Macaca mulatta: one gene and its partners. The protein of the gene in region 1 purifies or fractionates together with the protein of each later gene. This does not show direct contact. Links are inferred from orthologs where the notes say so. Each region holds a gene or a part of one and is shown on either strand. Other genes may lie near its edges.

Region 1 (11,174 bases):
TTGAATAAAAGTTTTATTCTTCCACACATTGCCTAATAAAACTATGGGATTTTCATGTAGCTAAACGATGGCTTTTATCAAACTAACATGCTCACTCTTTGATGTGTGATAGTTTTGTAAGGGATAGTTAGGTTTAGCCTATTTGATCTTCATTTTATCTCAGGTCCCAAGAATTGAGCTTCACTGGACTCAGTACTGCCATCCACCATAGGAGCCCCAAATGATTTAATACGTTAATGCTTGGAGCCTCCTAGGTGTAAGGTTCTGAATAATTTACGCATAGCACTTCATTATTGTTATACGTGTAATATGATACTATTACCATTTTCAGATGAGAAAGTTGGGGTTTGGGAAAATATGAGGTGCAAGAATTCAGAGGTCTGGTTCAGAGGTATTTTAAGTGTTCAAAAGGGTTCCTTATGGCTGGGTATTCACCTGATAATAAGGGCTCTGACCTAAGACAACATAACAGAAGCCTGGAGTTTAACATGCTAACATGTGTCTAGCGCATGTGGTCTTGAACCAGAAGCATTGGCAGAATCTAACACTCACTGGGACCATGGTTATCTTTTTGGGTGTGGGGCTGGACTTACTGGTTTGGTTTTCATTTATTCTCAAGGTTGTCATACCTCAGAAGAAAGGCAAGAAGGCTGCTGCAACCTCAGCAAAGAAGGTGGTAGTTTCCCCAACAAAAAAGGTTGCAGTTGCCACACCAGCCAAGAAAGCAGCTGTCACTCCAGGCAAAAAGGCAGCAGCAACACCTGCCAAGAAGACAGTTACACCAGCCAAAGCAGTTGCCACACCTGGCAAGAAGGGAGCCACACCAGGCAAAGCATTGGTAGCAACCCCTGGTAAGAAGGGTGCTGCCATCCCAGCCAAGGGGGCAAAGAATGGTAAGAATGCCAAGAAGGAAGACAGTGATGAAGAGGAGGAGGATGACAGTGAGGAAGATGATGAGGATGATGAGGACGAAGATGAGGATGAAGATGAAATTGAACCAGCAGTGATGAAAGCAGCAGCTGCTGCCCCTGCCTCAGAGGATGAGGATGATGAGGATGATGAAGATGATGAGGATGAGGATGATGACGATGAGGAAGATGGTAAGGAGTTGTCTTGGTAGTTACTGGGCTTCTGATTGCAAGATATCTTGAGATTCTGGGATCAACATATTCCACAACAACCTGGAGATGAGAGTAGAGTCCTTGTGGGAATTCTCTGGGCTGTTGTGTGTTAGACTTAATTACCCATGAATGATTTTTGTCCCTCCTGAGAAAATTTCAACAGCACATTCTGTGAGTGTTTTTCATAATGTAGGATTTTGTTTCTTAGTGATCTTTTTTGTTTTGTTTTTGTTTTTTAATTTTTTTGACATGGGAGTTTTTGCTGTTTCCTAGGCTGGAGTGCAGTGGCGCGCTATCTCAGCTCACTGCAACCTCCATCTCCAGGGTTCAAGCAGTTCTGCCTCAGCCTCCCAAGTAGCTGTGATTACAGGCGACCACCACTATGCCCTACTAATTTTTGTATTTTTAGTAGAAACGAGGTTTCACCATGTTGGCCAGGCTGGTCTCGAACTCTTGACCTCAGGTGATCCACCCACCTTGGCCTCCCAAAGTGCTAGGATTACAGGCGTGAGCCACTGTTCCTGGCCCCAAGTAATCTCTTCTTGCCATGACTATTAACTAAACATGGTGACAGGATTGCATTAGATTTTAAAACCGATGTTGGTTTTGGGAGATTGCTGCAATTTTTAGGTGGCTTATCTTTCAGACTCTGAAGAAGAAGCTATGGAGACTACACCAGCCAAAGGAAAGAAAGCTGCAAAAGTTGTTCCTGTGAAAGCCAAGAACGTGGCTGAGGATGAAGATGAAGAAGAGGATGATGAGGACGAGGATGATGACGACGATGAAGATGATGAGGATGAAGATGATGATGATGAAGATGAGGAGGAAGAAGAGGAGGAGGAAGGTAATTAGATTCTGACATACATTGACATGAGTTGTTTAAAGGAGGCACTTAAGTGTTTGTGGCTATTGATGGGTAATACATTGACATCTTGTCCAGAGCCTGTCAAAGAAGCACCTGGAAAACGAAAGAAGGAAATGGCCAAACAGAAAGCAGCTCCTGAAGCCAAGAAACAGAAAGTGGAAGGTAACTTGCAGAATTAGGGGATGTGGGGGAGATAAACAGCACAAATGATGAATGACAAAGGGACTTAATACTGAAACATGATGTTACATTGCAGTGTGCTGATGTGCTGTGTATAGAAATTTTGCTTTGGAAACTAACTTTTTACCACACTTCACAAGTAGACTGAGTTCAGCTTTTTTTGTATAGGCACAGAACCGACTACGGCTTTCAATCTCTTTGTTGGAAACCTAAACTTTAACAAATCTGCTCCTGAGTTAAAAACTGGTATCAGCGATGTTTTTGCTAAAAATGATCTTGCTGTTGTGGATGTCAGAATTGGTATGACTAGGTAAGTGCTTCATGCACATTACATACACATGGGTCTGTTAATACTTTTCCTTCCCTTATTAGCACAGTTACTTTAGCCTGCCACTCCTAAACATGAATAGTGTAAACATTTTCAAGGATTAGCATTAGTGAACTAAGTTACAATTAAACTATAGAGTCCCTGGATTGCAATTTCCAGTCAGTTGTAACTTGGTATAGCACAGAATAATCTTAGTAAGTTTTTTTGTCTTTTTTGTTTTGTTTTGTTTTTTATTGAGACGGACTCTGGCTTTCGCTCAGGCTGCAGTACAGTGGCGCAATCTTGGCTCACTGCAACCTCTGCCTCCCGGGTTCAAATGATTCTCCTTCCTAAGCCCCCTGAGTAGCTGGGATTACAGGTGCACGTCACCACGCCTGGCGAATGTTTGTATTTTTAGTTGAGACAGGGTTTCACCATGTTGGCCAGGCTGGTTTCGAACTCCTGACCTCAAGTGATCCACCCAGCTTGGCCTCTCGAAGTGCTGGGATTACAGGCGTGAGCCACTGTGCCCAGCCTAAATTGGGGTCTTGAGGCACCAGTGTTGGTGTTAGGCAGGAGAATCGCTTGAACCTGGGTGACGGAGGTTGCAGTGAGCCAAGTTCGCACCACTGTACTCCGCCTGGGCAACAGATCGAGACTCTGTCTCAGTTTAAAATAATAATAATTTGATGTTTATTTTCTTGGAAGTACCTGAAACTATTAGACCTGACTAGTCATCATAGTGAATGCTTTTATCCAGGCAGGATTCTCCTGTATTAGTGCTTACAGGTGTTCTTTTGTCAGCTGCTACTGTGAATTGTTATAAGCAATTTAGCTAATGATGATGACCTCAAACGTGAATGTGCACATCATATCTCCGTACTGAGACCTTATTCTGTAGCTACAATTTGCAGAGCCTTGACTTTGTTTTGCTAATATTAGGGGTGCTTTTTAAAATGTGATCTTTGTTTGCATCATCACATTTGTCTAGAATACATATTGTGGATTTCAGTTTGTGTTTTCATCTGTTGTAATTTTGCCCTTCTCTCCACCTTGAAGGAAATTTGGTTATGTGGATTTTGAATCTGCTGAAGACCTGGAGAAAGCCTTGGAACTCACTGGTTTGAAAGTCTTTGGCAATGAAATTAAACTAGAGAAACCAAAAGGAAAAGACAGTAAGAAGGGTATGTAAGGCTTTAGGAGATTATGCAATAAATTCAGGAGCTAGACTGCTAGGGAAAATGCTTTGTAACCCATTTCCCTTGGTTTCCTCTCTTTAAATTTTTTTTTCCCCTTGGTTTCCTCTTAATGTGGGAATTAAATGAGCTGGTGTTTACAAGAGTACTTGGCACTGCTTGCTAGTGTTACAGTGTAAATTCTTGAGTTAGGCAAGCAAGAGCACTTTTATACAGAACACGAATTATTAGATGCACCTAAATTAATGTAAAGGGGTCTTCACTGAAACTAGATTAGGTCCCTAATTACTGTTTGCATCCTTTACTTTATTTCTCTATGTACAGTTGTAATGTTGTAATGTTTTAAATTGGTACGTTCACCTTTTTTGTTTCTAAAAATAATATGCATCTACTCCAGGTTGAACTCTAGTGTACCCAGCGGATAGTTTGACATCAGCTGTGACAACATGGAGGGACCACTTGTGTGTTGACACTGCTATATCTCCAAGGCACAGAGCCTTGTACATTATAGGATCTCAAATTATTTGTTGAATAGAGCTATGTCTTTTTTTTCCCCCTCTTTGTTGTTGCCCCCCACCTTTGGTTTTTCAGGCCATGGAGCTCATTTTTGTTTTTTTAATCTAGAGCGAGATGCGAGAACGCTTTTGGCTAAAAATCTCCCTTACAAAGTTACTCAGGATGAATTGAAAGAAGTGTTTGAAGATGCTGCGGAGATCAGATTAGTCAGCAAGGATGGGAAAAGTAAAGGGTATGTTCTGTCTATTGAAATGTAAGGGTTTTCTTAACATGAATACACATTCCTGCTTTATAAAAGAAATGTTGGTTTGATTTTCTTAGGTGTGTAATTTTGGGCAGTTTAACCTGTAAATTTGTGCCTCAATTACCCATCTGTACCATGGGGATAACGTACTCATAGGGTGATTTTAAAAGACAAGGTAATACATATAAAGGAGCAAGAAATGTGCCTAGCTTACAACAAATATTTTGTGAGTAGTAGTTCAGTGAGGTGAGGTTACTGTGAAAAAATTTTGAGTATTTGTAAAACTGTAGTGGGAAGTAAGAGGGAAGCTCAAGTTTGATTGAAAAGTAGCATAAAACTAAGGGCATTTATTGTATTCAGATCTGAAGCAAGTTCTGTGTTGCTGAGGTATAAAAGCATTTGTGTTAATGTGATTTTAAAAACCATGAGTTCTTCTCCCTCCATTGCAGGATTGCTTATATTGAATTTAAGACAGAAGCTGATGCAGAGAAAACCTTTGAGGAAAAGCAGGGAACAGAGATTGATGGGCGATCTATTTCCCTGTACTATACCGGAGAGAAAGGTCAAAATCAAGACTATAGAGGTGGAAAGAATAGCACTTGGAGTGGTAAGAAATTAGGCTTGTTACTGGGTTCCAGAATTGATGGAGGGAACTCCTTTGTGTCTTTGTACTTCATAAGTTTATACTTTTTAATCAAAGTTACTTAAATGTAGGTGAAGATCAAGGACATTATACCCTAAGTTATACTCTTATTTGGAATAGTAATTTCCAATCTTGAATGAGAGCTGTAAAATCATTTTGCATTGGAATACAGTAGGCAAATCAAGCTTCCTTTTTGTAGGTATGTTTTATACTTTAAATGACTTCGACTATGTGTGTGTGTGTGTTTTTTTTTTTTTTTTGAAACAGTCTCGCTCTGTGGCCCGGGCTGGAGTGCAGTGGCCGGATCTCAGCTTACTGCAAGCTCTGCCTCCTGGGCTTACGCCATTCTCCTGCCTCAGCCTCCCGAGTAGCTGGGACTACAGGCGCCCGCCACCTCACCCGGCTAGTTTTTTGTATTTTTTAGTAGAGACGGGGTTTCACCGTGTTAGCCAGGATGGTCTCGATCTCCTGACCTCATGATCCGCCCATCTCGGCCTCCCAAAGTGCTGGGATTACAGGCTTGAGCCACCGTGCCCGGCCGACTATGTGTGTTTTGAACTCAGATTATTGTTCTAGGAAAACAGGCCAGTAGTCAGCCTATACATAAAGAACCACCACCAGAACATTGCAACATGTACTAAGTACTTAATATGTTGAGTAACAAAAGTGGATTTCACTTACATCATCAGTATTTGTGTGTTAACTCTTTCAAGCACTGAAATGCTTAGGAATAAAATATTACTGCTCTGACCGAAGCTGGGAACCACTGTTTCAGAGTCTTAGGAATGTGGCATCTCTATTTGCAGGTGAATCAAAAACTCTGGTTTTAAGCAACCTCTCCTACAGTGCAACAGAAGAAACTCTTCAGGAAGTATTTGAGAAAGCAACTTTTATCAAAGTACCCCAGAACCAAAATGGCAAATCTAAAGGGTAAGATAATTAATACCTTTATATCAGTTACAGGCTATATATGTCTTACAGGTCTAAAGGAACGTAAGGTCATGTGATCCTGTCAGAAAAGCCAAATAATTTTAGCTACGTAAATGAGTGTAAAAGAGCGTCATTTAGGTACCAACTTGAGAGAAGGCTTGGCAGCATCTTGTGACAGTGAAGGAGCACGTGCTTGGTAACTTACTCTAAGCATTAACTGTTCATCCTCAGGTATGCATTTATAGAGTTTGCTTCATTCGAAGATGCTAAAGAAGCTTTAAATTCCTGTAATAAAAGGGAAATTGAGGGCAGAGCAATCAGGCTGGAGTTGCAAGGACCCAGGGGATCACCTAATGCCAGAAGCCGTAAGTTCACCTGGATAGGATGCTGTGGTTGGGGGTAGCACTCTCAGTGCTTTTGGTGTTTATTTTTTGCACAAATTCTGTGTTTCCTGTTGCTACTGAGTGAACAATAACTGGATATGATGACTGATTACCTGAGAAATAATTGATGAAATCTCAAGAAGATTCCTCTAGATAGTCAAGTTCTGATCCAGCTGTGTCAACTCAGAGCAGCAAGTTTGCCCATGATTTCCTGCCCCATCCAGTGGGCAGCACCTGCTTGGGTTCTTCTCCCACTTTCCATAGAAGATGTGGGGCAGAATATCAACTATGCAGTGGCAGTTTAAAAAATGTAAACTCAGAATAGCCTTACTTTAATTAAGGACTAGTTGGCTTAGTTGCTTTTCACTGCTTTTCCACTAAGACAAGCATTCTTGGCCAGTAGTCATACCAGGCATTGTGCAAATTCAGTGTTACTACGAACTGTGACTTCACATAAAGTCACAATTTTTTTTCTTCCCCAGAGCCATCCAAAACTCTGTTTGTCAAAGGCCTGTCTGAGGATACCACTGAAGAGACATTAAAGGAGTCATTTGACGGCTCTGTTCGGGCAAGGATAGTCACTGACCGGGAAACTGGGTCCTCCAAAGGGTAAGGGAAGAAAGCATGAGTGCTGCTTTCACTTGAAGGGGTTTTTGTTCGGTGGAGACCTTGAGTCTAAGGTGTCTTCTCATTGAGCTCCTTTCTGTCTATCAGTGGCAGTTTATGGATTCGCACGAGAAGAAGAGAGAATTCACAGCACTAGCATTATTTTACCTTCTGTCTTTACAGAGGTATATTTAGCTGTTTTGTGAGACATTCTGGGGTTCAAGCTGTCACACCAGTTAGTTTTCCATAGAGAGCTACTCTGTCACTGGTATATTTTCCAAACTAAACAAGGCTACTTTCTGTGGGATGGCTCCCCAGTGTGTGCCGTTAACTTGGGACATGTGCAGTAGGTGCTTTTTATAATGGGCAATTTCATTTGGTGTTCTAGGTTTGGTTTTGTAGACTTCAACAGTGAGGAGGATGCCAAAGCTGCCAAGGAGGCCATGGAAGATGGTGAAATTGATGGAAATAAAGTTACCTTGGACTGGGCCAAACCTAAGGGTGAAGGTGGCTTTGGGGGTCGTGGTGGAGGCAGAGGCGGCTTTGGAGGACGAGGTGGTGGCAGAGGAGGCCGAGGAGGATTTGGTGGCAGAGGCCGGGGAGGCTTTGGAGGTAAGGCACACAGGGATAATGACTTCAATGTCTACTGGACACCACGTAGCATATGCTCTTTAGACCGTGCCTTGTCACGGTTCCTAATCACTGGGAGGAGGAACTTTGTACCTATTCTTTTAACAGTGTCTTGCCTTCCCCCTGTAGGGCGAGGCGGCTTCCGAGGAGGCAGAGGAGGAGGAGGTGACCACAAGCCACAAGGAAAGAAGACGAAGTTTGAATAGCTTCTGTCCCTCGGCTTTCCCTTTTCCATTTGAAAGAAAGGACTCTGGGGTTTTTACTGTTACCTGATCAATGACAGAGCCTTCTGAGGACATTCCAAGACAATATACAGTCCTGTGGTCTCCTTGGAAATCCGTCTAGTTAACATTTCAAGGGCAATACCGTGTTGGTTTTGACTGGATATTCATATAAACTTTTTAAAGAGTTGAGTGATAGAGCTAACCCTTATCTGTAAGTTTTGAATTTATATTGTTTCATCCCATGTACAAAACCATTTTTTCCTACAAATAGTTTGGGTTTTGTTGTTGTTTCTTTTGTTATTATTTTTTTTTTTTTGCGTTCGTGGGGTTGTAAAAGAAAAGAAAGCAGAATGTTTTATGGTTTTTGCTTCAGCGGCTTTAGGACAAATTAAAAGTCAACTCTGGTGCCAGACGTGTTACTTCCTAAAGAGTGTTTCCACTGGAATGTCACTGGAGAGCATGGCAAAGCCAGCTCTGCCACTCACTTCACCCATCCCAATGGAAATGGCGTAGTGCGTGCGTTTCCAGTATCCCAGCCCCCAACTTGGTTGAAATGCTGGTGAGGGGACCCGCTCCTGCAGCCCTGATGCTGATGAAGGCTGCTGCAGCTTCTCCCAGTTTTAGCAGGTTTGAGGATTATGTCCTGTAGAAGACTCTGGAAAGAGGCGCAGGAACACATTAGGTCTCCTAGGACAAGGAAGGGCATCTGGGAAGAGCAGTGGCTCACACCTGTAATCCCAACACTTGGGGAGGCCGAGGTGGGCAGATCACCTGAGGTCAGGAGTTGAAGACCAGCGTTGCCAATGTGGTAAAACCGCATCTCTACTAAAAAAAAAAATTAACGGGGCGTGGTGATGTACTGCTGTAGTCCCAGCTACTCAGGAAGCTGAAGCAGGAAAGTCACGTGAACCCGGGAAGCAGAGGTTGCAGTGAGCTAAGCACGCACCACTATACTCCAGGCTGGGTAACAGCGAGTCTCCAAAACAGTTCTGGAATAGAACTCATGCTAGGTGGATAGACCAGTGGACACTCAGGGACCATGCGGCTGGGGAGGAAACCACATCAAGTAAACCCCTAAAAAGCCATTTGTTCTGTACTATGTATATTCTTTATTCTTTCTGGTCTTAAGTACTTGCCTCAACCTCCACTTTTAGTAAAAGACGAAGGCCACATGAGAGGTGGGACTATCAACAACGTGATGAATTTAGATGAAACCCAGTGCCCAAAATCAACATAGGTAGCCAAGTGCAAAACCCTGTTTTAGTCAGACTAGCGAAATCCAACTATGATACTTGGATAAGCTTAGAAGGCAACATGCAGAACCTTAGCTGGTTTAAGTTTACCCTGGTTGAGCTGGGCTGCTGAAATCTTAACATCCTTGTGCTTATCACCTACTGCTTGTCAGCCCTGTTCCATGTCCAGGGGACGGGGGTGGTGACAATCCAGTTACAAGACTCACGCTCTAGAGAGGAAGGCGGCCAGTGAGGGTTGTAGCTATGATAAAAAGCAGTGGGAGGGTCTCCCATGAGGCAAGCCTAAGGACAAAAAAAGGAAGGCCTTGCAGTCTGTATTCTAGATAAGGAATTGAAGGCTTTTAGATAACAAGCCCATAAGGGGTGTTGTGGATTAAGTCTCAAATTGCAGCAAGGGAAATAGTATGAACATAAGAATCTACAGTGGTTTTCAAGAAAGATCCTGTGAGGCCGGGCACCACACCGTGGGTCATACCTGTAACCCCAACTCCTTGGGAACCTTGGGTGTGGAGATGGCTTGAGCCCAGAAGTTTCAGACCAGCCTAGACAACAGTGAGACTCCCATCTCTACAAGAGATGGTCATGATGGCATAAGCCTGCAGTTCTCGGGAAGCTGAGGTGGGAGGATTGCTTGATTCCGACACTGCATTCCTCCAGTCTGGGTGACAGAAACAGTTTGAAAAACCTTGTGAAGTTGGTGTCTAGGTCTTCTGGAATCTATGAAATGCCTCCAGGGTTCTCCTTGGTTCCCTGCAGCCTTCACCCAGTTGAGAATGTGCTGCAGCTGGTTTCTTTGTGCAATCTTTGGGAGGCTCATGGGTTAAAGTAAGTGATAGTCTATATGCTGTGTGGCCATCTGTTGGGATTGCTGGTGGCTCTGGTGCAGCACAGCCACTGCTTTTTCAACACTTGGAGAGCCTATGGGAGTGGGATTTTGGTAGGTTCCCTTGCTGTGTGCAAGGGAGGGCTTGAATTGCAGGAAGAGCTCATGGCTCCCAAGGTGGGGCTTGCATTGCTATCAAGTTGCTGTTAATAATGGGACAGTTGCTGTTTGTGTACTCAGCAGCTGGGCGTTTTCCTCAGCCCCTCTACTAACTTGCTGCGAGGCAAGACAAGGGCAGGACACTAAGGTTCCTATCTCCTGATTCTTTTTCTTTCCTATTCCTTAAGGCAAGTAGAGATGGTCCAGTCCTGTGATTTGTCAGTGCTTGTTCTAATCATATGTGCTGATTTCCTATAGAATGAAGATGAGGGCCGGGTGCGGTGGCTCAGGCCTGTAATCCCAGCACTTTGGGAGACTGAGGTGGGTGGATCAGCTGAGGTCAGGAGTTTGAGACCAGCTGGGCCAACATGATGAAACCTCGTCTCTACTAAAAATACAAAAATTAGCTGGGCGTGGCAAGGGGGGCACCTGTAATTCCAGCTACTTGAGAGGCTGAGGCAGGAGAATTGCTTGAACCTGGAGAGCGGAGGCTGCAGTGAGCCTCCGCCCTCGACAAAAGCGAAACACTATCTCAAAAAAAAAAAAAAAAAAAAAAAAAAAAGAGGATGGAAGGTAGATTACCCTGCAGGGCCAGAAAGAGACACTGGGGCTTGTGATTAGGGACTGAAGTCAAATTCACAGTCTTCCCTGGTGCCTGTCTCTAGTTTCTGATTCGGTGGTGTTTGGAGCCATTTTAGAAAAGTGATAGTTTTCTTCTGCAAATGGTTGTCACCACATTTGTCATGCTTCCAGCAGGTGGCAGCATAAGTCCACAAGGATCTGGAAACTCCTGCCGGAGGGAGGCCTGGTGATGACCTGGCTGCAGGCCTGTGCATCTCTAACTCCAAACTCACCGTCAGATTTCGGACCAGTGGACAGGCCCAGAGAGTCCCCCACCTCGAGTGATGCTGCACAACCCCTGCAAAAGGAGTTGCCAATTGGATCCTACAGCTAAGATTTTTTGGAGGCATGTCCTGTGCCCTTTCTCTGAGAGTTACCCTGTTATCTTTGTGTCTCACTGTCTCCCCTCAGCCTAAAAAAAAAAACTAAAGCTTTTCTCACTCCAAAAGACTGTCCCCCGACCCTGCCACCTC
Region 2 (11,174 bases), on another chromosome or scaffold:
ATAGACACTTTTAGGCAATTAGGGGCTGGGAGCAGTGGCTCATGTCTGTATTCACAGCAGTTTGGAAGGCCAAGGCCAGCAGATCACTTGAGGTCAGGAGTTTGAGACCAGACTGGCCAACATGGTGAAACCTCGTATCTACCAAGAAATACAAAAATTAGCTGGATGTGGTGGTGCACGCCTGTAGTCCCAGCTACTCAGGAGGCTGAGGCAGGAGAATCACCTGAGCCTGGGAGGCGGGGGCTGTAATGAGCTGAGATGGCACCACTGCATTCCAGTCTGGGTGACAGAGTGAGACCCTTTATCAAAAAATCAATTAATTAAAATAGAAATAGAAGGCCGTAAGTAATTTTTCTGTAACTGTTGTATTTACAGGATTTTTTTGCAGACCTTAACTTTGGGATTCCCTTTATTAACTTTTTATTATATTTTGGCTTATGCACTTTCTCACTTTAACTTTTAATAATTTAGGTAGTTTGGCTGTGTGTTCATCTCTAACCGCATATTTTTTTACCCACAAGTTGTTCAAAGAGGAGAAGTTGTTCTCTTGGGTGATTTAGATTATTTGAAAAATCAAGAAATGTGGTGTACTTTTAGTTCTGTCAAAACCAAGATTCTAACCTCGCTACCAACAGCATGCAGCAGAGTGGCAGCTAGCGCCGGATGGGGAAGTCCTAGAGAAAGGCAAGACTGTTCATGAGAATAACTGTGTGTGTGTGTGTGTGTGTGGTTTTTTTGTTTTTTTTTTTTGTTTTTTTTGTTTTTTTTGGTTTTTTTTTAGCATTTTCTCCTTCAGCATTTATCCATGAGACAATCACCAAGATGACCCAGGGGTTGTACCGCGTTGCAGGCTTCTGCCGTTTGACCTTCCTGCCTGCCAGGGTTTTGAGGTCATACTGTTATTTGTTCTTAAATGAGTAGCCCGGTGAACTGCAGAATATATAAAGGAGATCCCTGATGTCCTGATGTGTCAAGTGTCAAGGGCGCGGGGGGAGTAAAGGATTATTTATTTATTTATTTATTTATTTATTTTTGAGATGGAGTCTCGTTCTGTGGCCTAGGCTGGAGTGTAGTGGCGCGACCTGCTGGGATTATAGGCACGAGCCACCGTACCTGGCTTTCTTTTTTTTTTTTTTGGGATGGAGTCTCACTCTGTTGCCCATACTGGAGTGCACTGGCGCAATCTTGGCTCACTGCAACCTCTGCCTCCTGGGTTCAAGTGATTGTCCTGCCTCAGCTACCCAAGTAGCGGGAATTACAGGCGCGTGCCACCACACCTGGCTAATTTTTGCATTTTTAGTAGAGATGGGGTTTCACCATTTAGGCCAGGCTGGTCTCGAACTCCTGACCTCAAGTGATCTGCCTGACTTGGCCTCCCAGAGTGCTAGGATTACAGGCGTGAGCCACTGCACCTGGCCAATAAAGGATTCTTTATGTTTTTTTCCTTTAGTGGGAGCTGTGCACTGAGGGAATCCTAAAAGTAAGACCTACAAGAAAAATCAGCTATGAAGGCAAGTTGCCCCACCCCTTAAGGCACCAAACTTAAATGACCTAGACATACTGAAATCCAGATTTCCCCTGTAAATTGTTTGTAAGTGAGATAAAGTGATATTCAGCGATAACATCAGAAAAGTAAAAGCTTCAATTAATTTTTTTTTTTTTTTTTTTTGAGACGGAGTCTTACTCTGTCACCCAGGCTTGAGTGCTGTAGCGTGTTCTCAGCTCACTGCAACCTCCACCTCCAGGGTTCAAATGATTCTCTTGCCTCAGCCTCCTGAGTACCTGGGATTACAGACATGTGCTACTACACCTGGCTAATTTTTGTATTTTTAGTAGAGGCAGGGTCTCACCATGTTGGCCAGGCGAGTCTCGAACTCCTGACCTCAGGTTATCGGCCCGCCTCGGCCTCCCAACGTGCTAGGATTACAGGTGTGAGCCACCACGCCGGGCCGCTTCAGTTGATTTGATAAATTCCGAAGTAACGAATCTCAGATCTTTGGGGTGCATCAGAATTACTTTGGGAACTTGTTAAAAATACAAATCCTCATTCCTTAAATCCTATCACTTTGGAAGGCTGAGGCAAGAGGATCACTGGAGCCCAGGAGTTTAAGACCAGCCTAGGAAACATAGGGAGACGCTGCCTCTGCAAAAATTAAAAAATTAACCAGGTATGGTCTGGGCACGGTGGCTCACGCCTGTAATCCCAGCACTTTGAGAGTCCGAGGCGGGCAGATCACAAGGTCAAGAGACGGAGACCATCCTGGCCAATATGGTGAAACCCCGTCTCTACTAAAAATTCAAAACTTAGTTGAGCGTGGTGGTGTATGCCTGTAGTCCCAGCTACTCAGGAGGCTGAGGCAGGAGAATTGCTTGAACCTGGGAGGCAGAGGTTGCAGTAAGCTGAGATCATGCCACTACACTCCAGCCTGGCGACAGAGCAAGACTCTTGTCTTTAAAAAAAAAAAAAAAAAAAAAAAAAAAAAGCCAGGTATGGTGGTGTGTGCCTGTAGTCCCAGCTACTCTGGAGGCTGCAGTGAGCTATGATTGTGCCACTGAGCTCCAGCCTGGACAGCAGAGTATGACCCCATCTCAAAAATTGAAAAAAAGGGTGGTTATGCTTTCAAACAAGAGCCCACAAACACATTGCAGCATCAAAACATTGTCTTAATTTGTGTGAAGTACTACTATGTGTTTAAATCAAGTGTACAAAATCTCTTTCATGAGAAGTAATTGGAAGAGAATTTTGAGGCTGGACATGGTGGGTCATGCCTGTAATCCCAGCACTTTGGGAGACTGAGGCAGGTGGATCACTTGAGGTCAGGAGTTTGAGACCAGCCTGGCCAACATGGTGAAACCCCGTCTCTACTAAAAGTACAAAAATTAGCCGGGCATGGTAGCAGGTGCCTGTAATCCCAACTACTTGGGAGACTGAGGCAGGAGAATTTCTTGAACCCAGGAGGTGGAGGTTGCATTGAGCCGAGATCACACCACTGCACTCCAACCTGGGGACAGAGTGAGACTGTGTCTCTAAAAACAAAAAAGAATTGCAGTGCATACACAACACAATCTCTTTTTTTTTGTTTGTTTATAAAAACGACAAAAAAGGATAAGAAGGGGATGACAGGATGAATTATCAAGATAAGACCAGGCCTCTTAAACCGTGACCATAGAAAGTGTTCAAGGTTCAAGTGACATACTGCAGTCAATGTCAGGTTTCACGAATTGAGAGCTCACACTTTTCATTTCTAGGAATTTACAGTACTGCTGACACTTGGAGATCAGCACCGGTGAGCTGAGTGAACTGGTATTAAAAAGATCAAATACACAGTTGCTGCTAAAGCTTTGGAGGGAACAAAATTTCCTAAGCCCACAGTCTGTCCTTTAGTAGCGAAGGAAGGAATCCAGGTCTTATGCATGGGCCAAACAGGTACCTTTCAAAAGTGTATCTAGAGGTACTACCATTTAATATGTATACGAATGGTTTCTTAACAAACTTGTCGATTTTGAAAGCACAGATTCTACACAACCAGTGACAAATGCTTATTTTTTGGGAATCTTAACCTCATTGTAAAGCAGTGGTTTCCAATCTGTGATGCCTCAACGCCTGACAGTCTGGAAAGGCGGTCAAGGCGGTCGTAGGAAGGATGGCAGGTGACCAAATAATTTCAAAGATTTCCGAAAAATTTAATGAAATATATTTTTGATAAGATTGTATAGATTAGCAATAATATAAATTTTATCTAGAGTCACATCAAGTCAGTGTGGTAATATCGATTGTAATTTTGTTGGTCAGAAGTGCTTATTGTCAGTTGTATGTCTCTTAATTAAAAAGAATGAGAAAATGTAATATTAAATGTAAATATTACTTAAATACAAGCCAGCAGGTAGTATCTCCTCAAACAAGGGACCCATGCAAGGGGAGTATGCTAATCAAGAAGGTGTGGCTGGTGAAGGGTTGGGGATCAGTGACCTGGAGGCTGTGTCATTAATGGCTGTTTTAGCAGAGACCCCCTCAGATGCATGAAGTCATCCCAGATCTTGGTATGTAGGAAGGAATCTGGGAAGTTATCAGTCACATCTTTCTTGTTACTTTTGATTTCTTTGCAGTATACTTTCTTCATGGTTATTCTCTATTGCAGACAAATTCTGTGGATCAGAACTGCTCTTAAAATGATTCAGACTGTACTTAAAATGCAATTATATGAATTCTGTAAAAAATATAATTCTAATGCAAGAAAGAGAGAGATCTGTAATTCATGTGGCCCTCTGTGCAAACCCCAATGTTATTCTTATAGAGTTGATTCATGCATTAAATTTAGTTGAACCAATTATAGTACAGAATAAGGTCTTTTTTATTTCTCTGTATATACACCCTAAAGAGGCATTTTAAAGTGGATTTTTGTGTGCATTTAGATTTTGCCATTTCTAGTGTTCTGTTTTTGATATGAAAGTGTTGTTTTTAAATATGATTGTGCACTGACACTAATCTTTCCAGGCTGGTTTTCTTTTTAAATGGTTTTTAAAAGTTTATGGATTGGATGAACTGAGAGAAAGAAAAATTGGAAAATGAATAGCATGTATCTTCTGAAGTTGATACATTTTGAGATAACTTGTTGTATATGAAAATGGAACTCATTTTCCTAGCAAGTATTACCACAGGTCAAATTCCATTAGAAATATCAAGAATGGAAATACCTGAATATTTTGTGGGCCTTGTGTAACTTCTCCAAAAAGAATTGGGTTGCGGTCGCCTCAGTGATTTTTCACCTTGAGTTGCACATCGTGTTGTATTGTAGCTCTTTAAGTGTGCTTTGTGTTCTTTGAACTCCTCTGGGGCAGGAATTGTTTCTTTTTTTTTTTTTTTAGACAGAGTTTCACTCTTGTTGCCCGATGTGGAGTGCAGTGAGGCAATCTCGGCTCACTGCAGCCTCCGCTTCCTGGGTTCAAGTGATTCTCCTGCTTCAGCCTCCCAAGTAGCTGGGATTACAAGTGCGTGCCACCATGCCTGGCAAATTTTTTGTATTTTTAGTAGAAATGGGGTTTCACCATGTTAGCCAGGCTGGTCTTGAACTCCTGACCTCAGGTGATCTGCCCGCCTCAGCCTTCCAAAGTGCTGGGATTACAGGCGTGAGCCACTCTCACTGCAAGGTCTGCCTCCTGAGGCCATTCTCCTGCCTCAGTCTCCTGAGTAGCTGGGACTACAGGTGCCCACCACCACGCCCGACTAATTTTTTGTATTTTTTAGTAGAGACGGAGTTTCACCATGTTAACCAGGATGGTCTTGATATCCTGACCTCGTGATCCGCCTGCCTCGGCCTCCCAAAGTGCTGGGATTACAGGCGTGACCCACCATGCCTGGCCAGGAATTGTATTTCTTAAGCTTAGCACAGTGCTTTGCATCCAGTTAGTAACGTAATAAATGCATCATTCAATAGTGTGTACAGATATACTTCTGAGTGCAAGCCAATAATCCTGTAAATCAGTACAACCAAGGTTATATTGATTAAATATTCTCAAACACTAAAATAATTTGGACATTTACATGGGATTTTTTAATCGTGAAATTTGATGTGTTTTGGAACTTATTTCTGACAGCTGTACCATATAGCTTTCACTGATAATGTCTTGGGTTAAATTGTGGCTCCTCTGATAACCCTCAGAGTAGATTTTGTGCTGTTGACTATATATAAATATCGAGAAATCACAGCATATTCTTGGATTTCCTTGTCTGATGCCTAGCAGTGACCCAGGTCCTTTTATGTATCATGAATCCGATTAGCAGAAAGCATGCTATTACATTTTATTTTAGTGAGTATCATTCTCATATCAGAACAAAACAGTTATTTGTCGATTCTTTCTTGTAGAAAGCATAACTCCTACTGTAGAACTAAATGCACTGTGCATGAAACTTGGAAAAAAACCAATGTATAAGCCTGTTGACCCTTACTCTCGGATGCAGTCCACCTATAACTACAACATGAGAGGAGGTGCTTATCCCCCGAGGTATGTGTGAGTTTTTTTTTTTCTCCATAAAATACAGGTGAAAATGTGTGATATTTTACATAAACTAGTACCTCTAGATTGTGGAGGGAGTAATGATTTGGTTTGGGCCTGCCAAATGTTGAAGTCGGTCTTAATTACTCTTGTGCCTTGTGCCCCTCCCCTGCCTTTTTTTTTTTTGAGACAGAGTCTTGCTGTGTCGCCCAGGCTGAAGTGCAGTGGCGCTGTCTCGGCTCACTGCATCCTCAGCCTCCTGGATTCAAGTGATTTCTCCCTGTCTCAGCCTCCCGAGTAGCTGGGATTGCAGGCGCCTGCCACCACGCCCGGCTAAGTTTTTTTTGTATTTTTTAGTACAGACGGGGTTCTGCGATGTTCGCCAGGCTGGTCTTGAACTCCTGACCTCAGATGATCTGCCCACTTTGGCCTCCCAAAGTGAGTCCCAAACTCACAGAGCACCCGGCCGCCCCTCTTTTTTTTTTTTTAATTCATTGAGACAGTGTCTCCCTATGTTGCCCCAACTGGTCTTGAACTCCTGGGCTCAAGGAGTCCTCCTGCCTCAGCCTGCCACAGTGCTAGGATTAAAGGCATGAGCCACTATACCCGGCCCTTTGTGCTTCTTTACTGCTCTTGGAAAGGGCCTGAGCATATTTCTCACTGGCAGTGTGGCTTGTGCCCTCTAGCAGCCTGGCTAAAGATCACCCTTGTAACTGCTTTGTGTAACTGAATCTTATTCAAACATGATTCCCATAGCATCATGATTCCTGCAAGACAGTGATTCCCAGCATTTGTAGATTACCTGATAATTGGGTACTTTTTGACTTTTGAACTTGTGCGCTTTGTAAATAGCTTTGTTGCAGTAAAATATTAATTGAAACCTGAAAATGCCATGGATTAAAAAATCTTTTGCCGGCAGTAGTAAGACATTAGTGGAGGCCGAGCGCGGTGGCTCATGCCTGTAATCCCAGCTCTTTGGGAGGCTGAGGTGGGCGGATCACGAGGTCAGGAGTTTGAGACCAGTCTGGCCAACACAGTGAAACCCTGTCTCTACTAAAAATATGAAAATTAGCTGGGCCTGGTAGTGGGCACCTATAATCGCAGCTACTCAGGAGGCTGAGGCAGGAGAATCACTTGAATCCAAGAGGCAGAGATTGCAGTGAGCTGAGATCACGCCACTGCACTCCAGCCTGGGCAACGAGAGAAACTCCATCTCAAAAAAAAAAAAAAAATTAGTGGATAGATGATGAACAAAATGGAATTCTTCATTTCCCTGCTCTCTGTTGGGGGATAAAGCCATTTTAAAAATACAAGCTATGAAATGGATAAGAAACTGGGTTCTGCTAGGGAAATGAATGAGAAACTGGGTTCTGCTAGGTAGGCTACAGCTTGTTGGGATTTCTTGAAATGAGGGTCCTTTCTAAAAGACTTGTGCGTTAAAATTCCCAGCCTTCTATTGGAGACATGCAAATTTAAAGCTAAGGTTTGAGAAGGCAGAGCAAACCAAGTGTCTGTCTCCGCCAAAGCCTAATTCATTTTAGATTTTGTCAGTGCAGGTTAGCATGATAAACTCATAATTTCTAAGCCATTGTGTTTCCTGAGATGTAAGTTTGGATTGCTAAAAACTCTTTTCTTATACTGTGTAGCAATTCTAATCCAGTTTAAGCTTTTATGAAATCTCTGGATATATTGATGAAGAGTGATTAGCATCAAACACTAATGTGAGTAGGATCGTGATGAAGGAACATTTGCCAGAGAGTGTATAGGTGACTTATCAACTTGAGACTGTAATTTGCCTAACCTCCTTTTATTTCTAGGTACTTTTACCCATTTCCAGTTCCACCTTTACTTTATCAAGTGGAACTTTCTGTGGGAGGACAGCAATTTAATGGGAAAGGAAAGACAAGACAGGCTGCGAAACATGATGCTGCTGCCAAAGCATTGAGGATCCTGCAGAATGAGCCCCCACCGGAGAGGCTGGAGGTAAGGAGCGGAGCCCAGGCTCCCTGACGCTTCGACAGGGTGGGAGGGTAGTGGGGAGATGTCACTGCACGTTATCTTTTCTAAGAAGGCATGTTGACAGCTGTCCATAATTTTTATTTGAATGCCTCCAAGATTTTATGCTCTGTAGCTTTCTTGCTTTTTACCCCTTTTTTCGTTTTAAAATTTCTTAACAAGAAAGTCAGTTGCCTTCTTTTCCAGTCTATGGCATGGTTTTGAGTGACATGGTGTGAACACGTTAGAAAGTTTGCGATTCAATTGAGTTGTGAAGAACATGTACGGATGAAGTCTTCAGTACTGAAGATTTTGCTTGTGATATATGGTACCAGGTTAGAGAATTTTCTGAAGCTGTTTTTGACCAGCCACTCTTGATTATATAGAAGCGCCTGTTATCTATTGCCTCATAACAAACCGTCACAGAATTTAGTGATGGTTTAAACATCTCCAGGCATTTATTTTGCTCATAAGTCTGCAACTGAGGCCGGGCTTGGTAAGGGTAGCTTGTCTTCATTCTACACAGCTTTGGTTGAGGTGACTCTGCAGGGGGCTGGAAGATCTGCTTTTAAGATGGCTCACTCGTGTGGCTGGTAAGTTGGTGCTTGCTGTCAGCTAGGAGCTCAGCTGGGTCTCTGGCCCCAGGACCTCAGTTCATCCCTGGGTGACCTATGGAAGGATTGCTTACACTTCCTCATGGTATGGTGGCTGGTTGCCCAGAGTAAGCATCCTAGAAGATGGGAAATGGAAGCAGCTGCCAGTTTCTTAAGGCTTAGGCTCAGAAATCACAGCATCGTGTCTGCCATGTTCTACAGGTCAAGCAGGCACAGAGCCCAGATTCAAAGGAAGGAGATATAAAATGTCACTTAAAAAAAAAAATTGAGGTGGCCAGGCACAGTGGCTCACGCCCGTAATCCCACCACTTTGGGAGGCCAAGGCAGGCAGATCATGAGGTCAGGAGATCGAGACCATCCTGGCTAAGACGGTGAAACCCTGTCTCTACTAAAAATACAAAAAATTCGCTGGGCGTGGTGGTGGGAGCCTGTAGTCCCAGCTATTCGAGAGGCTTAGGCAGGAGAATGATGTGAACTCAGGAGGCAGAGCTTGCAGTGAGCCGAGATTGTGCCACTGCACTCCAGCCTTGGGGACAGAGCGAGACTGTATCTCAGAAAAAAAAAAAAAAAAAAATTGAGGGTAAAAATTATATAACCTAAATTGACTAGTGTAAGTGTACAATTCAGTAGATTTTAGTACATTCACAATATGGAGAATCCCATTTCCAGATGATGAAGGGATTGTCAAAGAATTAGGGACCATGCTTTAAAACCACCATGATAGGAAAAGGATTATTAACATTTTTGTGACTCAATAGCAATATAATTCTTAGGGAATCAGTAACTCCATGCCATTGAGGGGGTCAAAGCATTAGTGAATATCTTTGGCCAGGCAGAATCTTATCACAGGTAGAGTCACAAAGGCCAGAAGAAGCCCAGTGAATTGAAAACATTGAGATTTCATAATTCTGTTTAATCACAGCAGGAAATGCCACCTGAAAATATCTCTGGGTAGCATTTGACTTTTCTTCACCAGGAAACATGTTCACAAAGAACAAGAAGATCCTGCACAGAACAGTGGGCTAAGTATGTGATGAGAGGTGTAGACCCAAGCGGACCTTGGGCAGGGTGCCTGCTGAGGTCTGTTGTATCCAACTGCCACCCAGGGCGACCCAGCTCGGGCTTCATGGCTGGCTGCACAGGAACGATTTGTTTTTCTTTCGTTACGCTGCGTTTCCATTTTCCACTGTAATCACCTATTCTAGTAGATGATCTGTTTCCATGGCCCACTAAGGACCAAATCAAAGAAAATGAGGCTGTAGCTAAAAGAGGAGGATTTAGTGAAGTTAAAAGGATGAGCTTTTCAGTGGTGAGATTTGTTAAAACACCAAAAAGGTAGTGGAATTTGAGTTATTTTGGAGGCTCTTCAGCTTTTTACCTGACTGGTGCTAATCTTAATTGGAGTCAGATGGAATAGGTATTTCTAGTACTTCCAGCCAATAGTTGATAAACAATTGCTGGACACTGCTATATGGATTTTGTGCATCACAATCACTTGAGAAGTTAAAAAAAGAAATTCTAGGCCCAACCCCGGGATTCTAATGCAGTAGGTCTAGGGTAAGACTCAGGAATCTGGCTTTTGCTTTTATTGTTCTTGCTGGGTTTTTTTTTTTTTTTTTTTTTTTTTTGAGACAGTCTCCCTCTGTCACCCAAGCTGGAGTGTAGTGGCATGATCTTGGCTCACTGCAACCTCCACCTCCTGGGTTCAAGCGATTCTTGTGCCTCAGCTGCCCGAGTAGCTGGGACTACAGGTGCTCACCACCACGCCCAGCTAAATTTTGTATGTTTAGTAGAGATGGAGTTTCACTGTACTGCCCAGGCTGGTCTCAAGCTCCTGAGCTCAGGTGATCTGACCACCTTGGCCTTCCAAAGTGCTGGGATTACGGGCATGAGCCACCATACCCAGCCATGTTGTTAGTGAGCTCTTGGAGTGATTCTGAGGTATGGTCAAGGTTGGAGAACCACGGATCTAAGCGCTGTCAGCACTTCCCCAGCAGTTCTTCCCCTTGACTCCTCCATGAGAATGATGAGAGTATTGCTACAAAGGATAAGTGCCTATTGGTATTTCTGAGTCTCCCACCTTCACTCACTAGAGCAGCGTTGGTTGGCACAGTCCTGAGGGCAGCAGTTGTTGTGGACATGTTCTCCTGGGCTGTTTTCTCACTGGGTCCTGTGAAAACTCTGAGGAGCTTTGCTGGGGAAAAAACAACAACAACAACAAAAACACCTTTTTTCACTGACGTGTATATTTTGAATATGTTACGTCATTTACTTAAAATTCCTTGGAGGACTCAAATTCAGCACACACCTAAGCACTTTTTAATGGCTGCAAAGTGTTCCACTAAGTGAATGCACTGCTTTGTTTTCCAGCAGGGACTTGATTATTTAGGTTGTTTGTAGTTTTCCCTCTTATGAAATGGGTCGGGAAGAACATTGTTGCAGTAAAGTCTTTGTCCACAGTCCTAGAAGTAGAATTGCTGAACCAGCGGGTATGCACAGTGGTACATATGGCCAAGTTCTCCACAGGAAGAGGGTGCCATTTTACAACCTGCTGACAGGCCATAAGCAACC
Region 3 (10,087 bases), on another chromosome or scaffold:
AGCACACCACCACGACTTGTCCAGTAATTGCAGTCCTTGTGGCCTAGACTGCCTTTCATTTAGGAACCCAGAGCACTTAAGCCTACAGTGGCAGGGCGTGTCAGAAGTCAGGTTCCAACCTCTGGGAAGGACAATTCATCTCTGGCTATAAATATCTAGGTATCAATATACCTAGCCATCTCTGGCTAGGTATAAATGTTTCCTCCAAGGGCATGGGCTGAATTCTTCTTTGCACTGTGATAAAGTAGCACTCAGTTCCAACGCAACGTCTCACATTGTTCCCCCACTGCCAGGCACACAGATTCTGTCTGTGCCATGTGGCCGCTGCCAGGGCAGAGAAAGGGTGATGTAGGCAAGTCAAGACTCTTTCCTACCTTCTTCCGTGCCTCTTTCCTCAATATACCTCTTTCCAGGTACTGTGATCGCTCACCTGATTTTTGGTTCTTACAAAGGTGTTTTGTGTGGATCGTTTTCAGTTTGGTGTTCTTGCGGGGAGAAGGTCACTGGAGGTTTCTATTAAGCCATCTTGCTCCACCTCTCCTCATATCTTTTCTTAAAAGCTAAATTATCACTAAAATAGTCTCAGAAATTCAGGTAACCTCGGTTAACTTTGAGATTCAATATTACATTTTCCCCACATGGTCCAGAAATATTTTATACATGTGATAGGACAGTCTGCAAATATGAGTTATACAAATACAACTTTAAAAAACTTCCCTTTTTGTCTTCTAGACAGTAATTCAAGTCTAAGTCTTTCTGGCAAATACAGTAGAATTCAGGAGCTGTTTTCCCAGTCAAAACCAAAATTCGTATCAGTTCCAATAAAATTAGAAATTCCATTTTTGGTTTTCTTTACTATCCTCCTGTCCCAATTCTGTTTCCAGATTCAGAGAGAGGGAAATTGGAATTCAAATACATGCTTGGCTAAAGTTGATGTCTTCTTTCTTGTTGTTTGGGCTGACCCCTAAGTTGGCACAACTATTCATATTGTGATCTGTTCCTATGGCATAGGTGACGTTCAGAGGGTCTGGAGTGTAGCTCCACAGCATAGAAGATCCCATCAAATTGTAGCTGCTTGCTTGAGGACACTGTACCTACACCTTCTGTTAACACAGAGAGGTCTGCAGCTTGGCTTCCTCAAACTGGCACATCAGCTTTTTCTTCCAGATAACTTTCAAGCTGCCAACCACGGACTAAACAGGTGCAATTCAGGCCACTGTCTTTCCTGTCTGAACTTCTGGAAGGGCAGACTCAGTTGTCACTGCCAGCTCTACTACCGCAAACTCCAGTAGATATGTGCTGTGAGAGAAGGGGTGGTAAGCAGAAACCTTTCTACAAATTTTTTCCTCGAACTCTCTCCCATCTCCTGAACGGGAACGGTGTGTATTCAAGCTCTCATTTTGGAAGAACTTTCAGTCATTGCACACCTGCTGTGACATTCTTTAACTATTGTCTTTGTTCTAAGCAGAATGTAGAGATGACTAAGAAAGGAAATGAAGGCTGGGTGTGGTGGCTCATGCCTGTAATCCCAGCACTTTGGGAGGCCAAGGCGGGTGAATTGTCTGAGGTCCAGAGTTCAAGACCAGCCTGGGCAGGTGAAAACCCGTTTCTACAAAACATAAAAAAAATTAGCTGGGTGTGGTGGTGGCAGGTGCCTGTGGTCCCAGTTACCCACTGCTTAGGAGGCTGAGGTGGGAAGATCGCTTGAGCCTGGGAGGTAGAGGTTGCAAGTGAGCTGAGATTGCGCCACTGCACTCCAGCCTGGGTGACCCTGCCTCAAAACAGAAATTCAACAGTAGTTGATGTCTGAAGGTATTAATATACCACAAAATACTCTATGTAGCCTTCTGCTCTTTTAAGTCTCATCTAAAAAAAGGCATGATTTCTGGACTTTATAATGGATTCTTTGACAAGTGAAGTGGATTCCCACTTACAGCTATGACAAGTACAAATGGCACTTAACCTCCCATGTAAGCAACTAGTGAAACAGCTGCTTTCAGACATTAGGCAACAGGCAATGCAGAACTGTGATCCCCCAATAAGGAAAACAATGAGACAAGTCCATGACTATGTGGAAGCACTTTCTGGGTCACCGCGGAGGGAGAAACTACCAAGCAGAGCACTGCAGTTATGAGACAAACGAGTTTGGGGAGGACAGCTGAAATGTGTGGGGCACACACAGCGGGGAGCTACATATGAAGCTCCTTAGGTCTTCAGCTGAATATGAAAAGATTAGAACTATGCCTTAGTGCTTTTTTTCAACCTTTAGAGAATGCACTGACAACTTTTGGCCATTTTTCAATTTCACATTTCTAATTGAATTTGTTGGAGGCATGAGTACCATTCAAATGAACCATTATTGATTTTATACTAAGGGAGGAGACCATTCCTCGTATCATCTTATGCCCGATTTCTGCCTCCAAAGAAAGAAGTAAAAACTAAAAGGCAGAAATGAAATCCACAGGCAGACAGCCTGGCGCCACACCCTGGGCCTAGTAGTTAAAAGACTGACCCCTGACCTAATTGGTTATCTATAGATTACAGACATTGTATAGAAATGCACTGTGAAAATCCCTATCCTGTTTTCTTCTGATCTAATTACCAGTGCATGCAGCCCCCACCTGCTTGCTCAATCAATCATGACCCCCTCACACGCACCCCTAGAGTTGTGAGCCCTTAAAAGGGACAGGAATTGCTCACTCGGGGAGCTCGACTCTTGAGACAGGAGTCTTGCTGATGCCCCGGCTGAAAAAACCCCTTCTTTAACTTGGTGTCAGAGGAGTTTTGTCTGCGGCTCGTCCTGCTACTATACCTTTTATGGGAGTTTTCACAACGTGCAAAGGGAGAGAAAGCATGCTCCATCAATGGTGCTAGTTCAGTATGGCTAGCTACAGCTGTACAGCAGAAATGAAGGTAGAGCTGGAGTCAGGGGCTAAGAAGGGAGTTTAGCCTCTACCCTGCCGGCAGTAAGAACCATTGGTTTAAGTCAGGAGAGAGGGTATGAAATCAGATTCGTTTGGGAATGTTTACTCTAGCTGTAGTGGAGATTAGATTGAGGCAGGCCTGTAGGCAGGATCAGTTAAGTGGTTGCTGTGGCACTGTATGTCCAAACTAAGACTGAATAGAACAGAGGCAACTGATCTATAAAAGTATATTGAAAGATGTTTTGAGCTGACTAGAGGTGGTGGCTTAAGCAATTAAGCAGCTGAAAACTCCAAAGAAAACGGAGCAGAGAACACAGTACTGTCAGGACATAGGGTAGGTTGGGAGGGGAAGGAGGTCAGTTTGGAAAGCACTGAGATTTTTTTCTGTGGGATATTTAAGCAGAGATACATGTTCAGTATGCAGCTGCTTACATGGCTCAGAAAGGAAATCAAGGTTGGAGATAGACTTGTGTGTCTGTAAATATGTGCCATCAGCTTAACTGCTGAAGGTGATCTACAACATATATGCAGGATAAAGGACTTTGAAAAGGAAACCAAGACAAAAATATGACTTGCCCAAGATCATCCACATGGTGGAGAAAAGAATTAAGACAGACCCAGTTCTGTCTAATCCAATACCTTTGCCCTCTCCCATTGCTCAAATGAGAAATCTGCAAATTCACTGGAAACTGTAAAGTGTTATAAATGTATGAACATGTCTATTAAAGTGGCTTAAGAGTTCTAACGGAGTGATTATATTGCTTTTAATTGTCACAGTAGAAACTCACTTAGAAAAGAAAATGCTGGCCTTGGTCTTATTCAAAGACAGAATATGGGAGGAAGCCAAATGTTCAGCCCTAGGTCAAAAGTTTTATTCAGGTTTATGTGGCTTGTACACTTGCCAGTATTTACTTCAAAAGGTAACAATTCCAAGGTGATTTTTCTATTACAAGTAGTATCACTTAGTATACTTTTGAAACATGGTACAACTTCTCTGACATTTAAAATGAACAGATGTAACTGGCATTATAAAATTTTCTAATATATAAGGTCAACAAACTACACGGCAAGTATTCGGTGTAATACTTTATTTTCTACTGTATTAAACGAAAGCCAGGAAAATACCAAGTTATTTAAAGGCAAATCTTTACTCCTTAAAGAAAAAATACAAACTGTGGTATTTTTAAGATAGATCGTTATATTTTACATAATATAAACAAAATCACTAATGCATCTATATGCTTGGTTTCCTTAAACTACAATGAACCACAGAATGGGTGAAAATGCATTTACTTTTTGGTGGCAAATAAACATATTGGAAAAAACACGTAACACATAGCATGCCTTTTTTTCCTTACTGTCTACACACAGGAACTGACATAACCAAGATTTAATAGCCACCACCTCCTCTCCCCTGTCCAAAGTAGCCACCTCCATAGGCCCCCCTACCACCTCCTCGCTGGAATCCCCCAGATCCTCTGTAGCCTCCACTAGGCCCTCTGTAGTCTCCTCCAGAGTTGCCTCTAAAGCCACCTCGGGAAACTCCTCTATAGCCTCCACCAACACCTGCACCATATCCTGCCCGAAAGGAGTTGGGGCTGCCACCATAGCCTCCGCTACCATAGCCTCCGCCACCATAGCCTCCACTGGTATAGCCACCGCCATAGCCTCCACCGCTGTAACTAGAACCTCCCCTTCTATATCCGCTTCCATTGTCGTATCGGGCCATCTTGGGAGGACGTGGACCATCTCCATACCTAGGAAAAGCACAAAACCATCACTTCAGCAAAGCATTCTTATTATTTCCCAACCACTCACCAAATGCACACAGTTAGTTATATTTGAAAATTTAATACATAAAGGGAATGAAGCCAAACGCACAAATCGAAATTGAAACAAAATTGATCTGCTATTCTAAAACAGTCATCAATTATATCCATCTGTTTTTCTGAAGTTCTTTCTGGTTCAATCTCAAAGGTTTTGAATTTTGGCAGTATGTCATTACAACTTTAAGAAGTGCTCTTACTCAGGTCAACAACATAGTGTTCCAAGAAGGCAAGCATTAGGAGAGGGTTCCTGGAGCTGCCAATAAACTATTTGGTCTTTATCACTAAAAGTTTTCCTGCAATAATTCTGAAATACGATTTTGAAAAATGTATATCTAATTTTGAAAAATTCTATCTACTACTGTAATTTAGGCCACCACATATTCATACATCCTAAACTCTCTTACGTATATCCCTTTCTTTCTAGTTTCTGGACTACTATCCCTCATAGAAACAGATTATATATACAAAGGTTCCTTGCTTACCAGCCCTCCTACCAAAAATAATCTCTCTTCTCCTAAACACCCATGAATACTTAATTTGTTATCTGCCTATGATGCTTACTGAATTATCCTATACATTTAAGCACCTAGGAGGGCCACAGTAAAGCCTAGTAAGAACACTGTTTCAGGAGGCATGTTGCCTGGGTTTGAATCTGGTTCTATCAGTTATTAGTTGTATGACCTTGAGTCTTATCTGTGCCCGGTTTCCTTATTTATATTAAAGAGAATGAGGATAACCATCTACCCATTTTATAGACAGACCAAATGCAGTAAGTCATTTTTGATGAGGAATTAGAGGTCATTTTTGGATAACTGGAAGGATTTTAGTACAATAGCATATTATAGTATTACTAAAACACTTAAGGTTTTGGGGTGGTATTGTGACCATGTTCTTAAAAGATATGAAGTGTATTGATGTAAAATGTGGTAGTGCCTACTACTTCATCACAAATGATTAAGGAAATGTACAAAACGCTGAAAATTAGTGAATCTAAACAAAGACTATATGGCTAAACATTGTATCACTTTTCTGCCTTTTTGGCAAGTATCAAGTATTTGTAAATAAAAACTCATGGGCAAAGGAAAAAATTTTAAAACCTGAAGCAAATAAAAATTTTAAGAATTAAGATAAATTTCTCATTTCTTTGCTTTAAGATGTCCATGCTCTTAGTTGTTTAAGATAAACAAAAACACATACACATTGGATAAAGAAGCAATTTAACATCTCATCAATATTTTTTCTTTAGAGATGCCAAAACAGTACCATGGAAAAAGGGCTATCTGGGCTGTGTCACTTCCCTGTCATGTGACCTACTCTGAACTACGTATGTGTATTTGTAAGATCCTTTTCCAACACTACCAATACGCACTGATGCGGTAGACCAATTACTAACAAAGGGACTAACAAAAGTAAATGACATTTTTGTTCTGAGTTTGTTAGATGGAACTAAACTATCTGTATCTAGAATTTTACTTAATAAGGCTTCTATCACTAACTCTAGGAATTCTAGACCTATGAAAGATCTCTCCCCTCTACTTGGTTCAATGAGAAGTTAATATGGTACTCACCGTGTACTGCCAATCATAAGGTTGATACCAGCAGCTGAGGGTCTAGAGATTTGACGGATCATGTTCAGCATACGTTCATTTACAGGGTCCAACTGGCTGATGATAGCAGGTTGTTTGGTTACTTCAACAACAAGAGCCTCCATGGCTGCCCGGAGACCGGTGATACAGGCAGCAGCTTCATGAGATATTTGCAGTTTAATCCTAAAGTGGCGAAAAACATTAAAAGTAAGAGAGGGAGTATATGAAGAAAAAGACCATTATCTCTCAACCTCACACATGGCAAGTTAAAGAATAAATTTAACTTCTTAAGCATTAATATTTTTAAAAACTACTTAAAGTCTATCAAGCCAAATAAAATACAAAAATATATGTAATATATAATAAACAAAAGAAAGTCCGGCAATATGGATCATTCAGACTTATTATTTTTTGAGACACAGTCTTGCTCTGTTGCCCAGGCTGGAGTGCAGTGGCATGATCTTGGCTCACTGCAACCTCTGCCTCCCAGGTTCAAGTGATTCTCCTGCCTCAGCCTCCAGAATAGCTGGGACTACAGGTGTGCACTACCACACTGGGCTAGATTTTTTGTATTTTTAGTAGAGACAGGTTTCACCATGTTGTCCAGGCTGATCTCGAACTTCCTGAGCCCAACTCATCTGCGGCACCCAGCCAGATCATCCAGACTTTAAAAGAATGAATTAAGAGACCCAGAATGCTGGCATTTTCTAGGTTTTCAAGAATATGATGGCTGAGCCTACTGGCTATCCATTAAGCTCTATTCCATTTTTGCCCAGTGCTTGCCACTAGTTTTGAATCAATATAGAGAGTATGTGAAAGTGTATTCAAGTTTCACTTAGATTGATTCCATAGTGGTGTGCATAGTGGTTAGACATGGCTCAAATTTCTAATGCATCTGCTTCTACTGGTATCCGTTTAAGTATATACTATGCAATTAAGTTAGATATAATTAGTATATATTTAAGTTATAATTAGTATATAATTAAGTTAGATTAGCAGCTGAATTCCATCATATTATAATTCTAAGAATTCAGTTTGGAGTTCACAGCGGAAAATCCATACCAGTCATCTACAAGCACGATCTGCCCATCAGATTGGACTTTCTTGGAGGCAAACAGAAGCAACTGCAGGGGGGTGACTAAAGTCATGCCTTTAGCAGAGATGGCTCGAGTTCGAATCTGCAAATGGAGAAAGAGACAGTACAAAATGGTTGACATTCCAACTTCCAAATACCGCCACATACTGTGCTTTGAAAATCAAAATTCATATTCCTAATGATTGTGAAGACAATTTCAACTTTCAATGTTAACTTTTGTAGTCTTTTCTTACCTTTTCACCAAATACAAAGAAGGGAGATGGGTACTTCATGTCTTGGCTACTAAAAGGACAATTAACAGATGATTTATGGATAAGTGCATTACGTCCTTCAGTGGTGAGAATCTTTCTCTTTTCCTTATGATAGCATACATTGGGGTACACACCAAAGGCCAGGAGGGAGATAACAACATCCAAATTATTATCTGGTCCAGTGTTAGTAAACACTTGTGTCAACAAACAATCTGTTAAGAGGAGCAGAGTGAAAAGAAAAATCAGATAATTGGCTGATCTTCACATTACATGCAAACTATTCAAGAAAATTCAGAGAACTGACTCTTCCTCTCTTCACATAACCTGTCTGTAAAACTTTCTCATCTGCTACTCTTCAATAGTTGTTAGTTGTAGAGAAGATGGAATGATAATCTAAGAGGACACCTACTGGAATGAAGGCTGACGTTTTTACCCAGTCTACACTTTATGAGTACTTAGCTACTGACTGGAAAGCATGACAGTCAACCGCTGAAAGCACAGACATATTTTGTTCTAGACAAACGAGTTCTAGCCTTATAACCTCGTAATTGGATAAATTAAAGACAATTTATACCTTGGTGCCTGTTTCATTACTTATAAAATGCATCTCAAGACTCTAGCACATAAAAAGTTTTCCCTTTCTTATAATTCTGAGGAGAAACTAACATTTCAGCTGGCTTATGACAGAAGAGAACCACTCACTACTCTGTTAAGTTATTCCAATCACAGCCGTTAAAAATTTACCATCTTGCCCAACTACCTTCTGTCTCTCAACAGTCTTATCTCTGGTTATGCATTCCAGTTCTCAATGTTTTAGGAAATAATTCTATATTTTAACCTAGTTGGAAAAGAAAAGTACTACAGTTCATCTTTATATTAAAGCCATTTAAAATTTAATGTGGTAGAATTTACTTCAAGTCTAAATGCTAATCAATTACTTTGCAAACCACTATAAGGTTATCAGCAAAGTACTCATTCTGGGAGCTGGACCAGTATCCATGAGAACTAAGAAATAGTTGGGAATATAGAAAAATCATAGGGTCTAAAATTTGAAGCTAAAATACACTTTGCTGTCAATTTGCATGTACTATATAAATGTCACTTTAAAGGTATCTTAAGAATGGGAGTCTTACCTTCTGGAAACCCAGAATTAATCAAAATCTCTTTGAGTTGAACTTTGGCTTCCCAAGTCATTCTTAGTGTAGCCATATTAAGTCTTTTGTGCTCACAAAAACGTATCTCTGCTTCTTCTCCACCCATTCTAAAATAAATCGGTATGAGAAATCATTCTCTAAGACCCGAGAACTAAATACAAATGAGAAACTACAGACAGACCACCCAAATCTTACTCATACCTAGCATCATCCCAGGCTTGGAATACTGATAAAAGGGCTACGTGATCAGAAAATCTGTTTCCAGCAAAATTTCGATGGATATAGCCCAGCCGCTTTCCTTCATTGATGAAAGGCTCTGGAAAGCAGGTAGCAGCAGCAATGGTACAGATAGCATCTCCCACGCTGAAATACACAAAGACAGTTAAATTCAGACTAGATCACAATATTGTTGCCAGCAGCTCAGGTAGTACTGTCGACAGTGAGTTGCAGTCTTTATGGCTATGATTCTACTTTTATTTGCAATGAAATTGGCTTAACAAAGAACTTTACAGCTGCTCTCTTCAGAATCAGAGAGAAAAAAAAAAAGGTGCGCTGACATTCCAATGGTCACGTACTTACCATAATTATGACCAAGTATATTTTTCCTTTAATATTCTCTCTCTCTTCCCCATCATACCAAATCTCTTTAATCTTCAACATTTTCTGATAAAATAAACCTCTTTTGCTGATGCTGCTCTTTCAAGACCAACTATTAATAACGAGGGACCCTCCCACCCCGGCCTCCCAAAGTACTAGGATTAAAGGTGTGAGCCACATTGCCTGGCCTGCTTTTTACTTATGAGAAATCAGTGCCCGTTTCCCCGTGTTGGGCCCAGATATCCATCTACTGGAACTGTACATTTTTTTCGTGTTATACTTCTCTCAATATTTAAGTATGTCACTTCCCTTAAGAACATTCAGAATTTTTTTGTCTGAGCCAATACTGCTTTTACAGGGAGAAGAAGATTCAGAAATTATTCTACCACTTAATGAAGAGAAATAAAACAAAGCACTTACTAGAAAATACACCCCATTATCATCATTTTCCCAAAACGAGGCTCAATGGGGAGTTTAGCCAGGATTCGTCCCAAAGGAGTCAACTCATCATTGGCATCTAATGCATCAAGCTCTGTGGGGAGATAGTTTTTTGTGAGTAGAAACAAATGAACACTAATTTTAGGCAGACAAAACATTACTTTCTAAATTAAGGTTAAGAGAGTTTAGACTTCCTCTTTTGTCAAGCCACT

The links. The genes of interacting proteins can lie anywhere in the genome.
Region 2: the proteins of NCL (region 1) and STAU1 purify together in Homo sapiens (affinity purification with mass spectrometry; 4 studies listed by BioGRID and IntAct, with this or other methods). This does not show direct contact. The link is inferred for Macaca mulatta from reciprocal best matches to the Homo sapiens genes NCL and STAU1.
Region 3: the proteins of NCL (region 1) and DHX9 purify together in Homo sapiens (affinity purification with western blotting; 3 studies listed by BioGRID, with this or other methods). This does not show direct contact. The link is inferred for Macaca mulatta from reciprocal best matches to the Homo sapiens genes NCL and DHX9.

Annotation. Positions count from the first base shown.
Region 1 is NC_133417.1:136,710,121-136,721,294, reverse strand, and holds the end of NCL (nucleolin), read left to right. Parts: intron 1-619; coding exon 620-1,100; intron 1,101-1,767; coding exon 1,768-1,965; intron 1,966-2,061; coding exon 2,062-2,148; intron 2,149-2,185; exon of another isoform or gene 2,186-2,255; intron 2,256-2,334; coding exon 2,335-2,476; intron 2,477-3,532; coding exon 3,533-3,657; intron 3,658-4,293; coding exon 4,294-4,417; intron 4,418-4,878; coding exon 4,879-5,036; intron 5,037-5,878; coding exon 5,879-6,002; intron 6,003-6,233; coding exon 6,234-6,367; intron 6,368-6,478; exon of another isoform or gene 6,479-6,558; intron 6,559-6,867; coding exon 6,868-6,994; intron 6,995-7,067; exon of another isoform or gene 7,068-7,204; intron 7,205-7,379; coding exon 7,380-7,603; intron 7,604-7,750; coding exon 7,751-7,827; 3' UTR 7,828-8,255; downstream 8,256-11,174. UniProt on the Homo sapiens protein: Nucleolin is the major nucleolar protein of growing eukaryotic cells. It is found associated with intranucleolar chromatin and pre-ribosomal particles. It induces chromatin decondensation by binding to histone H1.
Region 2 is NC_133415.1:101,963,188-101,974,361, reverse strand, and holds part of STAU1 (double-stranded RNA-binding protein Staufen homolog 1), read left to right. Parts: intron 1-5,864; coding exon 5,865-6,003; intron 6,004-7,811; coding exon 7,812-7,977; intron 7,978-11,174. UniProt on the Homo sapiens protein: Binds double-stranded RNA (regardless of the sequence) and tubulin.
Region 3 is NC_133406.1:40,344,808-40,354,894, reverse strand, and holds the end of DHX9 (ATP-dependent RNA helicase A), read right to left. Parts: intron 9,970-10,087; coding exon 9,858-9,969; intron 9,204-9,857; coding exon 9,042-9,203; intron 8,948-9,041; coding exon 8,820-8,947; intron 7,899-8,819; coding exon 7,669-7,898; intron 7,518-7,668; coding exon 7,402-7,517; intron 6,523-7,401; coding exon 6,322-6,522; intron 4,682-6,321; coding exon 4,315-4,681; 3' UTR 3,904-4,314; downstream 1-3,903. UniProt on the Homo sapiens protein: Multifunctional ATP-dependent nucleic acid helicase that unwinds DNA and RNA in a 3' to 5' direction and that plays important roles in many processes, such as DNA replication, transcriptional activation, post-transcriptional RNA regulation, mRNA translation and RNA-mediated gene silencing.